Caenorhabditis elegans: one gene and its partner. The protein of the gene in region 2 purifies or fractionates together with the protein of the main gene of each other region. This does not show direct contact. Each region holds a gene or a part of one and is shown on either strand. Other genes may lie near its edges.

Region 1 (7,683 bases), on a different chromosome or scaffold from region 2:
TCTTAATAGTTCTTATATTCATAAAAATACCAACAGAAACAATTTCAACAAAAATATTTGAAAAAAAAGGAAAATTAGACTACAGACTCTACAAAATCCTACTCGAGATCATCTATTTATCCTTTTGTCCGGGCACTGGTTTCACATGTCTTCCCGGATTTGGAATGCTTTTCTCCCAATCAACGACATGCTTATCTGCGAATTTCACAACTCTTGGGAAGTTTGCTCTCTCTTCTGCCGTATATTCATCACTTCGTTTCACAACTCCTTGAACTTGTCGCAGCTGACTTCCAATATTTTTTCGTACAAATTCTGCCATTTCTTCATCTGGGAATAAATGTAGGCGTTGGATGTGACGACGTCGGAGAAGATTATTTCCAAGTGACTGAAAAAAAGAATATAACCACCGCGTACTTCAGGTGTTCGAATAGTTTATATTAGTTATTGCCAAAAAATTGTTTTGTTTAATTTTCAGGTAAATTTTAAAGACATTTTTAACGTTGAATAAATCATTAGATTATTTTTTTTTCAAAAATACTTCAAAACTTAAAAAAATTGGATGACATAAATTACAAAATAAAAATACACTCACCCTATAAACCGATAAAAAAGCTATTCTGCATTGATCGTAATCGTGAATCTGCCATGCTGGAATATCAGCTTTACTTTTTGGATATTCCTGCAAAAGAATTGATAATTTCTATAAAAGCAGCAAAAATCACCATATTGAACTTATAAATTGTGTGTTTCCAGTCAAATGCATGCATTGCAATATCTTTGCAGTTTGTAACAACTACATGATCTCCACAATCAGTTTCTGGATGGAAAATTGGTTTGTGTTTCCCTGCGAGATATCGAGCAACTTTATCACCAAGAAGTTCGGCGTCCTGGAATTAAATATGAAATAAAAATAAATATATTCATGTTGTTATTATGTTTTTCTGTTATTCGAATGTACATTTTTGTTTTCTGGTAATTTTTTTTTACAAAAATGGACTTTTTCGATTTTTTTTCCAGATTGTTCAGAGGAAAAAATTGAAGAGAGAATGCGATTTTCTGTAGTTTTCAAGATTAAAAAAATTAAACTTTAAAATAATCGTGCCAAATTGGGTTTTGGCGGACTTACGACATTATAATATAAGTGGAAAAAACTGAGTAATTACTACAATTTGCGTGCTAATAAAATAAATTCAGGAATTTTTTGAAAAGCTTTACTATTGTGTTTGGTCATTGTTGAATTATTTTTTATCAGTGAGCAATAATTTGTATTATTTGAATAACTATGTGTATTAGAAAGGATTGCACTTATATTATTACTTAACACTTCCATTTGTCAACAACATGTTTTCCCATTTGATCGTCGACATGTTTACGTTCAAACATTCAAAAAAACAAAACAAGAGGCTTAAAGGTATACATACTTGTTGATTCGCATCAATCACGTGCCATTGTCTCGAAAACTGCAGCCATTGGTTAACACGGTCAAATCGAGAAACGGCACGCCGGTAGGACATCTGATTGTTTGTAAATGATTTTCAAAATGTAATTTCAACGAATAAATGATATAATAAAGATATTAGAGGAAATTTACCTCAAAAGGAAAAATCAAAAAGAAAAAGCAAACATCAAAGGATTTATACTCGAAAATGAGAAGGGACCGAACCAGAATAGTGAGAAAAAAAAGAATATTAAAGAAACAATTACAAAAAAAAAAGAAAAGTTCATAGAACAGAATTCGAAGAGAGCGGAAAGAAGGAATTTGGGGTGATATGATCACACAAAATTTACAATTTTGGACAGCATCTAATAATCTTCTAGGAGAAACGAAAGCGGTGTTGCATTGCTGCAAAATAAGAAATCTTAGATTATTTTTTTGGATGAAAGTATGAATACACGTGTGTGAGCAGTAAAAATTCGAAAATGAGCAGGTGCGATCACCAGACGATTTTGTTTTTAAACTCGGGCAGAACTGAGAACCGTTTGACACTTTCATAGGCAAGCATTACAAGACTTGAATAGAGAGCATTATTCACCATACGCGGTGCGAGACCCTGAAATATTAAAAACATATATAAATGTATTTAACTAATATTTTTCGTGAGCTCAGCATATTTTACGGATACTTATTTGAAGCAAAAAAATGGTGTAAACATGTTGATTTCTGAGCTCATTTTCTAAATTTGGTATATCTTGATTTGGCAAAACCATACCTTGGTGAATACTTGTGCTTTCTCATACTTCCATAGTCTAACAATCGTTTCCCTGTACGTTGTTCGATGAACCTGAAAATATTTTAATTTCATTGAATTAGATTACTAAAATTCTTACCTGTAACCGAATTCTCAGCATCTCCAATGGATTTGTAACCATTGCACTAGCGACTCCGCCAATAGAACCGCTCACAGCTTGGTCCAGGAACAAATTCCGATCATCAACTTCGGAAGGAGATGTTGGTTTCACTCCATATTCAAGTTCAGTGACCTGAATTAATAATTGACTTAATTCAGTTTAGCATAACTTTAACCTACTTTTTCACGAATCATTCTGAACACTGCTAATGAATTGTAATATGTAGACCAGAAAACCATTGTTGAAGGAATATACAACATGATTGCGGATAGGAATCCTCTGAAATTTTAAAATATGTCATAATTGAAACTGTAAAATATAAAAATACCTATAAAAACCGAAAATTCCATCAACTTTGTACACGGCCCTGATAACTCTCAAACCTAACGTTCTTCTGCCTTCGAGACCATCTTTTCTGATTGCATCTGCTACTGGTATATTCTTCTCTCCACCTAAATTATATTCTTCAGAGCAAACATTTCAAAAAAGCGATTTACCTCCAAATGCTTCTGGATTATTATGAACCATCATATGTTGAGCCACAATGTCAGTTGGTACAAATATTAGCTGTGCACAAGGAGAAGCGATTCCTCCGGCTAATGCAGATACCACAGAGTGATTAGTAATATGAAGATGGGTTTGAAGCAAGTCTCTGACTCTTTCATAAGCTGATGAATATAAAAATGAAGCTGACAGCTGGGGAAGTGTCATCCAGAATCCCTGAAATATTTTAAATTTCAATAAAACATCCGGTAACTAAAACTAACTTTATACAAAGCGCCGATTCCTTCTTGACGAATGATTTTAACAAATGCATCTCGCATTCCGTTATACACATTATTTTGTCTCTGTAGTTGTAGTCTGCTCTTCACAACAGACATTGGATACAGCATGCACCTGATTGTCCATGAACTGCACAGAGCCATTGGATAGAATTTGTACAAGTTGAGATGTTCCCATTGAATTACTAAAAGCTTGTCCTTCTGTATTTGACTCAGTGGAGATACTTTCGAGTTTAGCGGGGATGTTGCTATTGACCGAGCCTCAATCGCGGTGTCCATTTCAGACGAAACCATCTGTAACATCTTATGAACATTAGAACTTTTAATATCGGATAGAGCATACCTTTGCGAACCGCATGTTCTAATTTTAAAATCAAATAGTCGATCGTTTGGTCTTCAAGGCAAAAACGAGCAAAGTGTGAGAATCGGCTTAGAATTGAGCATCACCTGGAGAGTTTTTTCGAAGGAACTTCAAGCGGATATTTTGATAATCTGACTAAAACAGGAAAATACGTATTTTTTAAAATTTTATAGAAAAATAGACAGATGGAGAGAAAAACATCAACAAAGAACGAGTAGTTTAAAAATGTTCACCAACAAAAAAGAGGCACCGCATTACGGCGAGGGAGTGTGCTATTGAGAGAGACACAGCGTCGTAAGAACGGAGCATCGTAATGCGCCTTGTTTATTTTTATTCAAAGTTTAAAATTCCATTTTAATGTTTTGTTTTCCGTTTTCGGTAACGCTCTTTCAGCTTTTATGAATTTTTTCGTTTTATAGTTGGTTATTGTTCAATTGAATGTTTATAGGGTATGATGAACTATCAATATGACGTCTCTGTCATAATTCCAGCCAAAAATGTAGAAAAGTTCTTGCGGGAAACACTCAACGGTCTACTCGACCAGACAGCTTGTGAAAATTCAAAAATTGAGGTTAGAAATGCGTATGGTTTTGTTTCTTCTAATTAATAAAAATATCTCAGATTTGTTTGGCTGACGACGGGAGTGTAGATGACACTGTTAGAATTCTGGAAAATGCGCGGCTCGAGTTCGAAGAGATGGGAATGAATGTCGTTGTTACACACGTTCCTCAACCCGGTGGAGTTGGTGCCGCTAAGGATTGTGCTGTAAGATCTTCGAAAGGAAGATATCTCTGTTTCAATGATGCAGATGATGTCAGCTCTCCGAACAGAATCAAAAGCCAATTGGAGTTGGCAACGAAGTTATCGAAGTCTGGAGATGATTTAATTTTTGTAGGTGAATAAATTGAAGTTAAGTATAATACGATCCTAACTGTTTGTTAGGTGGACAGTTTCATAGACTACCAGAAGGCTCCACAACAAGATACACAAAATGGGCGAACTCGATGATCGGAGACAAAATCAGAAGTCAAGTCTACACATCTCATGGTCCCACGCTCGTTGCTCCTACTTGGTTCATTAGTAGAGCACTTTTCGATAAGGTTGGCGGTTTTCGAACAGATGTTTCGTGTGGTTTTCCTGAAGACTTAGAATTTTTCTACAAGTGCTTGGATTTCCCGGAGTGTATTTTTGATAAAGTAAGTAAATTGGCAATTTTAGCTGGAAAGTTAGCTTGAAAAAAATTCATTTCAAAATGTGTGTTATTTCAGGTCGATGATGACATTGTCATGTACCGATACCATAAAAACTGTGCATCACACAGCGTTCAAGAACAAACAATTTGGAATTTCCGTTTATCGAGATTAAAAGAGAAATACATCGCAAAATGGGACAAATTCACAATCTGGAGTGCTGGGAAGCAAGGAAAACGTCTTTTCAAGTAATGGTTTATGCTTGAAAACATTCTTTCAACATATACTACATTCTTTAGAAGTCTCACAGATGACGAGAAGATCAAAGTCAGAGAATTTTGCGATATTGATGAGTCAAAAATCGGGAGAGGTGTTCATGAAGAGTTTGATGAAGTGTCACGCAGTGTGACTCACAAAGTTCCAATTGTTAACCTTGAGTATGTCTTCACTTTCTCAGTTTCTTACTAAACGTATTATTTGTTTTAGAAATGCCAGGCCTCCGCTCGTCGTTTGTGTCAAATTGGACTTGACAAATGGTGATTTGGAGCGTATAATTGAACGAAAAGGCTGGAAAGAGCACGTCGACTTGGTTTACTTTGGTTGACAGACTGCTATCCGATACTTGATATAATAAACAATTTATCCGTTTAAATTTTGCATTTTGCGTTGTCTCATTGGTTCTCAGTGACTCCAATGTACTTTGATGTTGCAAATTTTTGTGTCTGGTCATTTTTCTCCCTCGTCGTTATCATTTTTCCTAACAGAACATGGGAAGAGATTACTAGGTGTCTCTGCGTCTCGTGTCTCCGAGTGATCTCTAATTTTCTCGCTCCGTCTGCTCGCGTCGTTGGAAAAACGACTCTGGCGCGAGTTAGTTTTCCTAATAGACGGCTTCTCCGTTTAGCTTCTTTAATTTATTTTATTGTTTTTCGGCAAAGTGGTTCCCTTCAGCTCTTTATTCATTGATTTTAAGTTTTAGATGGTGTTCCAACCAATCCACGAGGAAGAGCAAGTTTTCGTCGACTACGCCATTGAGTTGGTTAAAAAAGCTGGAACGGTGAGTTGAATTCGGATTAAAAAATCAAACTGTTTCCTAAAACAACAACGTCGTTATTATCTTTGTCTTATTTTTGTTAATTTTACAAATATGCACATTTAAATCAAATGCGTAACTCGAAAAACAACATTCTCTATTCCTCAGTTACGAAACAAATTTTATTATTTGAAAAAACATCAATATTCGAAAAAAACATTTTCAGCTCGTCCGTACCGCGTTTGACTCCCCGGAAAGCAAGGTTGACACAAAATCATCGAATACTGATTTGGTGACTGAAACTGACCAAGCTGTTGAAAAGCTTCTCATCGAAGGGCTCTCCGAGAGATTCAAAGGACATAGGTAAGAGCAAGGAATTCCCACGGTCCGCTCGATTTCACTCATTGTCTCCATGACAACCAGTTGGACTTTCTTTTTCAATCGAGTATTTACATAAATTTACTATTTTGATTCAGATTCATTGGCGAGGAATCTGTAGCCGGAGGTGCGAAAATTGAATGGACTGATGCACCAACATGGATTATTGATCCGATTGATGGAACTACTAACTTTGTTCATAGGTAAGATTTTTTTTAAATCGGACTCTTCAAATAATGGCAAATCGCGTTATTTAATTTCTAATTTGGACTCAAATTTTTCTCGAAAAACAAATTCTTATGTTATTATAGAATCCCTATGATCGCAATCTGCGTTGGACTTGCAATCAAAAAACAAATTCGTGCTGGAATCGTATACAATCCAATCACTAATGAACTTTATCTCGCTCAACTCGGAAAGGGAGCTTTCAAAAATGGATTTCCAATCCGAGCATCAAAGAATCAATGTAAGTAATTGCACTTTTCTTGTCATGCACCCTGCTTTTTGAAGTGCTTTCAAAGGGAGTTCTCTGTCAATCTCTCGGTCTGCATAATCGTGTTCAGTTCGGCGATCGCTGGCTCGACATTGCCCAGTCAAACATGCGAAATCAAGTGATGGCTGGTGTGCGAGGGTTTGTTTTAATTTTTTGGTCTAAAATTGATTACTTTTTTACAAAAAATATACCTCCACACTTCCCGCGCTGGTTTTGCACGTTTTACTTTCAATTTTATTTACATTCACATAGAAACGTTGCAAATTCCAGTCATTGCGGAAAGTGTGCTCATACTTCAACTTGGCTCAATTCGATCTCCTGTTATGCAGAAATCATTTGTTGATTCTTACAAGACTGTTATGTTCGACAAACAATGTCACGGGTACTTATAAATATTTTTTATATTCTTGTCGAAATCTAGTGACTTTCTTGAACTGTGCGTTTGCAAATTTTTTGAAAGTTTTACTAAAATTGAGAAATGGATAAGATGGAAAAGTTAGATGTTGGATGGACAAAGTTTAATATGAAAAAAATCACGAGGATGATGTGATATTATTATTTTTAATATTGTTATACATAATAAAAGTTATTTGAAAAAAATCCAAGTTTTTTTTTCAGACACCGTTCGTTTGGCTCCGCCGCGATCAACATGGTGATGGTTGCACAAGGAAGTTGCGATGGATATGTTGAATACGGGATTCACGCTTGGGATGTTGCTGCTCCTTCTATCATTGTCACAGAAGCCGGAGGTGTTGTCACTGATCCAACTGGATCCCCATTTGACGTCATGTCAAGAAAAGTTCTCTGCGCTGGAACAGCTGAACTCGGACGCGATTTATCTGCATGCCTCACTCATGTCGATTTCGAGCCGGAAGCCTAAATATATATTTAACTATTTATTTTCAAAACTCACATATTGTGACATAACATTCCTACCATAACATGCATTATCTGTATTTCCAATTTAATATTAGTTTTTTGATTTTATTTTCTAGTCGTATGTATTCTCGTTTTATGAGAATAAATTATTTAAAGATGTTTATATCTTAATTTCTGATACTTCAATTGCCGTTTGAGCGCACTTGATTTATTTATAC
Region 2 (7,352 bases):
ATTTGTGATGCACTGGCTGAGAAGGGAACAATACATTTTAATACTCATGGAATGTACAGATTCTAATTTGTGTGTAGAATAGAATTATTAAATTATAAATTACGGGCAAATCAACATTCGAATTGCTCATCTTAAGAAAAATGTAATTGTACAAAAAGCTGTACTCTTTTTACTCCTCAGAACAATGTTTTCTTTTCCCTATCTTTCTCTTCCAACAAAGGTAGTATTCTAGCAATAGTAGTATTCAAGCAAAAGTAGTATCAAGTATTCAAGCAAAAGTAGTAGTATTAATTTACTCTTTTGCTTCACAGAATAATTTACTCTCTGTCTTCACAGTATATTTTACTCTCTTGCTTCACAGAATAATTTACTCTCTGGCTTCACAGAATATTTTACTCACTGGCTTCACAGAATATTTTACTCTCTGGCTTCACAGTATATTTTACTCTCTGGCTTCAGAGTATATTTTACTCTCTGGCTTCACAGAATAATTTACTCTCTGGCTTCACAGTATATTTTACTCTCTGGCTTCACAGTACATTTTACTCTCTGGCTTCACAGAATAATTTACTCTCTGGCTTCACAATATATTTTACTCTCTGGCTTCACAGAATAATTTACTCTCTGGCTTCACAGAATAATTTACTCTCTGGATTCACAGTATATTTTACTCTCTGGCTTCACAGTACATTTTACTCTCTGGCTTCACAGAATATTTTATCTGTCAGTTCAAATTTCCGAGAAAAATCATTTTCCAAGTTACAATTTGCAACAAAATGGCTACGGGGATTTTTTAAAAAGTTAGTTTGAAGCCAGATATTAATTTTCGAAGTACAGTGCGTGCAACTTCTATAGCGCCCCCTATTTTTTTCGTGTTTCGTCACTTTCCCAAACTTTCTTGAGAAAACCATTATAGCCATTCGATTTCAAATGTCAAAAAAACCCCCTGTCCGAAGTTTTCATGAAAAAATATCAAAGACTACGGTAATTAGGTCAAAAAGTCTGAAAAACGACCGTGCAACTTCTATAGCGCTCCCTCGAATTTTCGCTATTTTTCAATAAAATGCCTAGTTTTATGAGATTTCTGAAAAGGATATAGTATTATATATTAAGAAAAATGATCATAAGGTCTCATTTTTCAATTTTCAACAGAAATATATTACGTGAAAACTTCTGGGATCCCAAGAGTGGTCTGAAACGCTTCACTTTGCGTTAGTGGCCAGTTCTCGGCTCCCACTGCATGTATTGATACGAAACGTGACCGAAATTTTCATTTTGATTTACTGATAATGTTTCAATAAGTTGTCATAAAATTTGGTCAATATGGGCCAGGTTGACAGCCCAAGTTAATAGTAAGGCTAGTAACCAATCAGTTGTTCTATCGATAAAACTCATCTGAGGCATGTCAGAGAATGGATGTGCGTCTTTTCTGGTAGACAAGATATCCATTCAATTAACTATTTAAAACAAATTTTGTCCGGATCGAAAAATGTTGGAAAATGATCGGTAAAATTCGAGAAATATCCCTCAAACAAATTAACAGGTGTAGAAACACTGGGCGGGTCTGTTTCCCGTGGTTCCGCGCGTTTCATTCGAGATCGAACGACAAAAGAACTGTCGAAGTGTTCAGAGGGGTCACAGAACTTGCATCCGAACTTAATATTTCAAAGTGTTTGTTAAAAACTAAAAATTCACCCAAAAACCTGCGGGCAGTGAACTCGCCCAGTTTTGATGTATGTGCAAATTTTTTAAAGGAGATCTCCTGCATTGGACCAATCATTTTTCAAAAGTTTTTTGTTCGAATAACACTTATAAAAATTTCAACAATGAATATGAAGCTTTTCTACCAGAAATGAACCGCGTCCAATCTCTGGCACGTCGCAAAAATCTGTTCTAGAGAGAAAAACTGATTTCCTCACAATGAGCAGCGCTATCTACCTTACCTATCTCCACCGAATTTAATATCAACCTTTCAAAATATCTTTAGTGAACAAAATTAAATGATTAGTTCAAGTTTCGTATCAATACATGCAGTGGGAGCCGAGAACTGGCCACTAACGCAAAGTGAAGCGTTTCAGACCACTCTTGGGATCCCAGAAGTTTTCACGTAATATATTTCTGTTGAAAATTGAAAAATGAGACCTTATGATCATTTTTCTTAATATATAATACTATATCCTTTTCAGAAATCTCATAAAACTAGGTATTTTATTGAAAAATAGCGAAAATTCGAGGGAGCGCTATAGAAGCTGCACGGTCGTTTTTCAGACTTTTTGACCTAATTACCGTAGTCTTTGATATTTTTTCATGAAAACTTCGGACAGGGGGTTTTTTGACATTTGAAATCGAATGGCTATAATGGTTTTCTCAAGAAAGTTTGGGAAAGTGACGAAACACGAAAAAAATAGGGAGCGCTATAGAAGTTGCACGCACTGTATGATGAATCTATTAATTCCTTATTCCATTCTTTTTTAAAATGTGATCAAAAAATAGGCCTGAAAATTTACTTTTTCCGCTTGAACTCGACGGTTATAAAAGTTTTTGAAATGATGTTTTCAAATTCTGAAAAAGCACAAAATTTGCAACAAAATGGCTACGGGGATTTTCAAAAAAGTTAGTTTGAAGCCAGATATTAATTTTCAAAGTATGGTAAATCTATTAATTCCCTTATCCATTCTTTTTTAAAATGTGCTCCAAAAATAGGCCTGAAAATTTACTTTTTCGCTTGAATTCGGCGGTAACAAAAGTTTTTGAAATGTCAGTATTAAATTCTGAAAGAGCACAAAATTTGCAACAAAATGGCTACGGAGATTTTCAAAAAAGTTAGTTTGAAGCCAGATATTAATTTTCAAAGTATGGTAAATCTATTAATTCCCTTATCCATTCTTTTTTTAAATGTGCTCCAAAAATAGGCCTGAAAATTTACTTTTTCGCTTGAATTCGGCGGTAACGAAAGTTTTTGAAATGCCAGTATTAAATTCTGAAAGAGCACAGAATTTGCAACAAAATGGCTACGGAGATTTTCAAAAAAGTTAGTTTGAAGCCAGATATTAGTTTTCAAAGTTGTTGTCTCTAGATACTCTATAATGACCTGCTAAGCCAATCTAGAGCCACCCGGACAGAGAGTATACAACCTCTGACCTGCGTGAGACGGTGTACTTCTAAAGATCACAGAAATTTTTTATCGATATAGAAGGCCGGGAGTATATTATTTACCGCAAAACAGTTTTGAAAACCGCGCTGATTTCAAATTTAACAAAAAAAATTATTTTTCTGGATTAAAATATAAGAGCAACAGAGGAAAACATTCATTGAAGAAACTTTATTCGAGATTAAAAAGTTCACATAATTTTTTTTTATTTCTTTGCCTCTTCAACCTTCTTTTCCTCTTTCTTTTCATCCTTCTTTTCTTCCTTCTTTTCTTCCTTATTCTCATCGTTTTTCTCCTCTTTCTTCTCCTCTTTCTTCTCCTCTTTTTTCTCCTCTTTCTTCTCCTCTTTCTTCTCTTCTTTCTTCTCTTCTTTCTTTGCTTCCTTTTTGTCATCCTTTTTGTCTTCTTTCTTTTCCTCTTTCTTCTCCTCTTTCTTTTCTTCTTTCTTCTCATCCTTTTTTTCATCTCCTTTCTCGTCACCTTTTTTAAATGAAATGTAAATGCGTTTCATTCCATCTGGCTTATGATTCTTCCATGCGTCACGAGCAGGTCCGTCTTCCTTTGTTTTAATGTAGTAGAATGCAAAGTACTGCTTATTGTTTTCTGGAATCGCTTTTCCTGGATTGTGGCACAACGGTATATCAATGGTTTCATCTGGTTTGATATAGCCGACTGGTGTTTTGATTTTGAACAAATCATTCGAAGTGCATTTGACTTTAAAAGCACACTTGTCCGTCGTAGGATTTGTCATTTTCAACACCGTTGTTGTGACCTCATCACCAAGTTTTGCATTTGAAAATAACACCTGAAATTTAAATGTTTATTTTAATTTTTTATGACACTTGCTAATAACACCAAAAACAAAAAAACTCCAGTAAGTTTGGACTAGGGCTGACAAACCGGACGTCCAAGACAAAATTCATAGCAATGGTCCAAAAAAATTTAAAAACTTCTGTATCATCTCAAAAACAGGTATCTTACTGCCCAGAGTCCGGGAAGAGGACGCCCGGTTTAGTCCGATTTAGTCCGGCTTGCTAGCAATAGTTTGGACCAATTCATGATACTCACTGTTTCAGCGCTCAGCTTGAGAATAAAATTTTCAGTTTCCTTGGTTTCCTTTTCATCTTTTTTCTTCTCTGCCATCTTCAGTATTTCGTATCTTCGAAGCGAACTTGAAAGTGGATATTCAACGATGAAATAATAAATTTATCTGATTGAAACTCTCTTATTTTATATAGAAACGTTTCACGTGACACATCAATTATTTATTTGGAATTTTTACAAAGCTTTTAAAGTTTAAAATCACGGAAATTTATTATTTTATCAAAAAAAAACAAATTTTAAATATATTCAAATTAGTTACGCGTTTTCAGTGCCAATGGTCTGTCCGGGTGGACCTCCGGGATGTTCTGGTCATCCTGGCCACCCTGGTGAAGACGGATCAGCTGGACAACCTGGAAGCCCCGAAGGAGTCGGTGTATCGTTACCATATAATGGATGTATTCAATGTCCTATGGGACCACAAGGACAACCTGTAAAACCAGGGTTAACGGGGGCATCCTGGAGATGTGGTAGTTACTGGAATGAATGGAATACCTAGAGGAAGAGGTCTTCCAAGATATCCATGAATGCCAGGGGACAATGGATCGAGCGGAGCTAATGAAGAATCGGGAGAGTAGGGCCTCCTGGACCAGATGTTGGTTATCCCATGTCTGGGAGCCAGGGGCTTCTGGGTCGCAAGGAAAAACAGGTCAACCGGGTGGACATGGAGTTGATGGGCATCCTGGAAGGGTTTAACTCTGAAAACCGAACTTTCTTTTTACATTTCTAGTCTTTTCGACCATCAATCATTGTTCTAATAAGTTGTAGGTGTGCAGTGAAGGTCATTTGCATACCTGCACAATTAAAGATGCTCTTCTCTTCTCTCGCACTAATGTTCTCTCAGAAGTATTAGCACTGTCTGAAAGTTACACTTGTTCCCGTTTTCATATGACTGCAGAAGATTTAATTTCACATTATAAATTCAGTTGATATTCAGAAAACCAAAACAAATCTAGTAGAATTTTTTATTCCATATTTCAAGCAAATCAAGATCATATTCCTAAGCTTCTTTTGGGCACATTGCAAGTGCTTGCTCGTAATCCTGAAAACCAAATGTTAAGCATTAGAATCCGAATAATAGACAAACCTTGGCGAATTTGGCAAAATCTTCGCGAGATTGAACATACTTCTTCAGTGCCAAATATTCCAGGACGCATCGATGAGCGTACAAATATTGCATTTCAGTTTGGACTGCTCTGAAACGCTCCTCTCGAAGTTTTGCCAGAAGGCGTGGAACTCCAATGAAATCCGGAAGACAAATTGACTCGAGGATAATCAAAATGAGAGCAAGTGTGCCAGTTCGACCGACGCCAGCGGAGCAGTGTACAACTATTGGTTTTCTGAAAATGAGATAATTATAAAGTGATTTTCAAAGAAATTAAACTTACGTGCAATTCTTGACAACAGTCAACAAACGGAACGGTGACAGAAAATTGTCGGGAACACCGTGATCAGGCCAATTGCGCCAGTGTATGTGCTTCACAATTTTGACAACTGCATTGTCTCCGGGCTTCGAAATACGCATTGTTGACATCACCAGAGTTTTATCGATCTGAAAAATAAGAACTTATTCATTGAAAATTAAATGTTTGAACTCTTACATCTACCCTGGATTCCTTGGTAACCGTGCACAGTCTCCCGATCTTTGTTGTTTGTCCAATTTGGCTTGGAAAGTATTCTGCGCTTTTTGGCTTCCCCTTCTCAACCAGCTCGCATAGCATCACAATGTACTCGATCCCTGTCACAATGATCATCTTCCAAAACTCTTCAATTGTGCCGTTTAACGGTGCTTGTGTGCAAATGAAGCGTCGTGGATTCGGTCCAGAACTGAAAATAACAAATTGTTCATGTAATTTTGCGATATGTATTAAGTACACTCTGTGGCGTCACAGAATGTATTCCAACTGCTGCAAATGGGATTTTCTTTACCTGACTAAGTTTGCGTGGATGTAGAAATGAGGATCGTCAGTCAACTTGACACGTGTGATGTCACAACACGGGATGTTCCGATATCGATTGCGTGTCGGATTCCCCAAGAAACTCGTTGCAATATCCTCTGGCGCTTCGTTTGGACTGTCACGGTATTCCTTTTTGAGGCCAGCCACTCCATTTTGCAACACCAGACGAATCCAACTACAGATGACTTCGGTCCGTTTCCTGAAAAATATAAAGTATTTTTTGTTTTGAAATTATAGTTTTCGATTTATGTGTGCAAAAAATAATTACTTTTTATCGGAACCGCCGGTTTCATCAACCGATTTCTCGTCTGTTTTCTCCTTTGATGGTCTTCTAATTGCAATATCTGCACCAGGAGATGGCGACTGCAGAAGTGGTTGAGCCATCGACGGTGGAATTGCTGGAGCCGGAGACATTCTTGGCAGTTGTGAGTTGATGACAGGTGGCTGCGGCGGTTGAGCACTTGTTGCAAGTTGTGGTGGAGGTTGATGAGGTGCCACTGGTGGTGGTGGTGGTGGTGGATCAGATGGTGGTGGCAGCATCATCGTTTTCATCGCGACTTCTGGCTCTTGCTTTGCAATTATCTGAGGAAGTGTCGGCTGAAATTTATTACTTGATATTTCACCAGGTCGAGGCGCGACATGGGCGATTTTCATTCTGGACTGAAACCGGACTAAACCAGCGTCCGGCTTGCCGGATTCGGTGGGTTCCGTTGTTACGATTCTGTTTTTCAAAACTTCGAAACAGATTTATCATTTCTCAATTATTCAAACAACCGAGCGCCCAGTTTGCCAGCCTAACCAGCGCATAGTTAATTCCCATACCGTTGGCTGTTGAGCAATCTGAGCCGTGGTCTTCTTCGGAGTTGGAACAATTTCATTGTTGGTTGCCTCCTCTTGCTCAATTGATTGCATCACACTTCTCTCGTTCTTACTACGCTCATTCACACTGACGACACTTATCTTGCTGGGACGCTTATTCAATTTGCTCACTTTTTTCTTCGCACCAGTAGATTCTGAAAATAACGCTATTATGAGGGGACAATTAAAATTTTAACTTACTTTTCGGTTTTGGTGGCATTTTGCTTAGACTTCGGTTGATTTCTACGAAGAGTCAGACTGTATCTGAATACTATACAGCAATA

The links. Proteins that work in one complex are often made in the same cells at the same time.
Region 1: the proteins of ZK354.7 (region 2) and F13G3.6 fractionate together in Caenorhabditis elegans (co-fractionation; one large-scale study listed by BioGRID). This does not show direct contact.

What each region holds. Positions count from the first base shown.
Region 1 is NC_003279.8:7,300,948-7,308,630, reverse strand, and holds F13G3.6 (Glycosyltransferase 2-like domain-containing protein), read left to right. Parts: upstream 1-3,940; 5' UTR 3,941-3,943; coding exon 3,944-4,063; intron 4,064-4,113; coding exon 4,114-4,387; intron 4,388-4,434; coding exon 4,435-4,688; intron 4,689-4,760; coding exon 4,761-4,930; intron 4,931-4,981; coding exon 4,982-5,119; intron 5,120-5,168; coding exon 5,169-5,286; 3' UTR 5,287-5,331; downstream 5,332-7,683. Other genes in the region: mrpl-13 (Ribosomal protein L13), read right to left, coding at 113-385, 593-679, 723-887, 1,422-1,514; F13G3.7 (SLC (SoLute Carrier) homolog), read right to left, coding at 1,935-2,051, 2,211-2,282, 2,329-2,481, 2,529-2,628, 2,678-2,801, 2,847-3,069, 3,117-3,434, 3,475-3,489; Inositol monophosphatase ttx-7, read left to right, coding at 5,662-5,739, 5,942-6,078, 6,192-6,296, 6,405-6,559, 6,604-6,724, 7,205-7,466.
Region 2 is NC_003282.8:5,298,785-5,306,136, forward strand, and holds ZK354.7 (Major sperm protein), read right to left. Parts: upstream 4,347-7,352; 5' UTR 4,295-4,346; coding exon 4,220-4,294; intron 3,957-4,219; coding exon 3,357-3,956; 3' UTR 3,294-3,356; downstream 1-3,293. Other genes in the region: ZK354.8 (Protein-tyrosine phosphatase), read right to left, coding at 5,253-5,294, 5,340-5,592, 5,641-5,804, 5,854-6,079, 6,182-6,409, 6,479-6,807, 7,033-7,223, 7,270-7,288.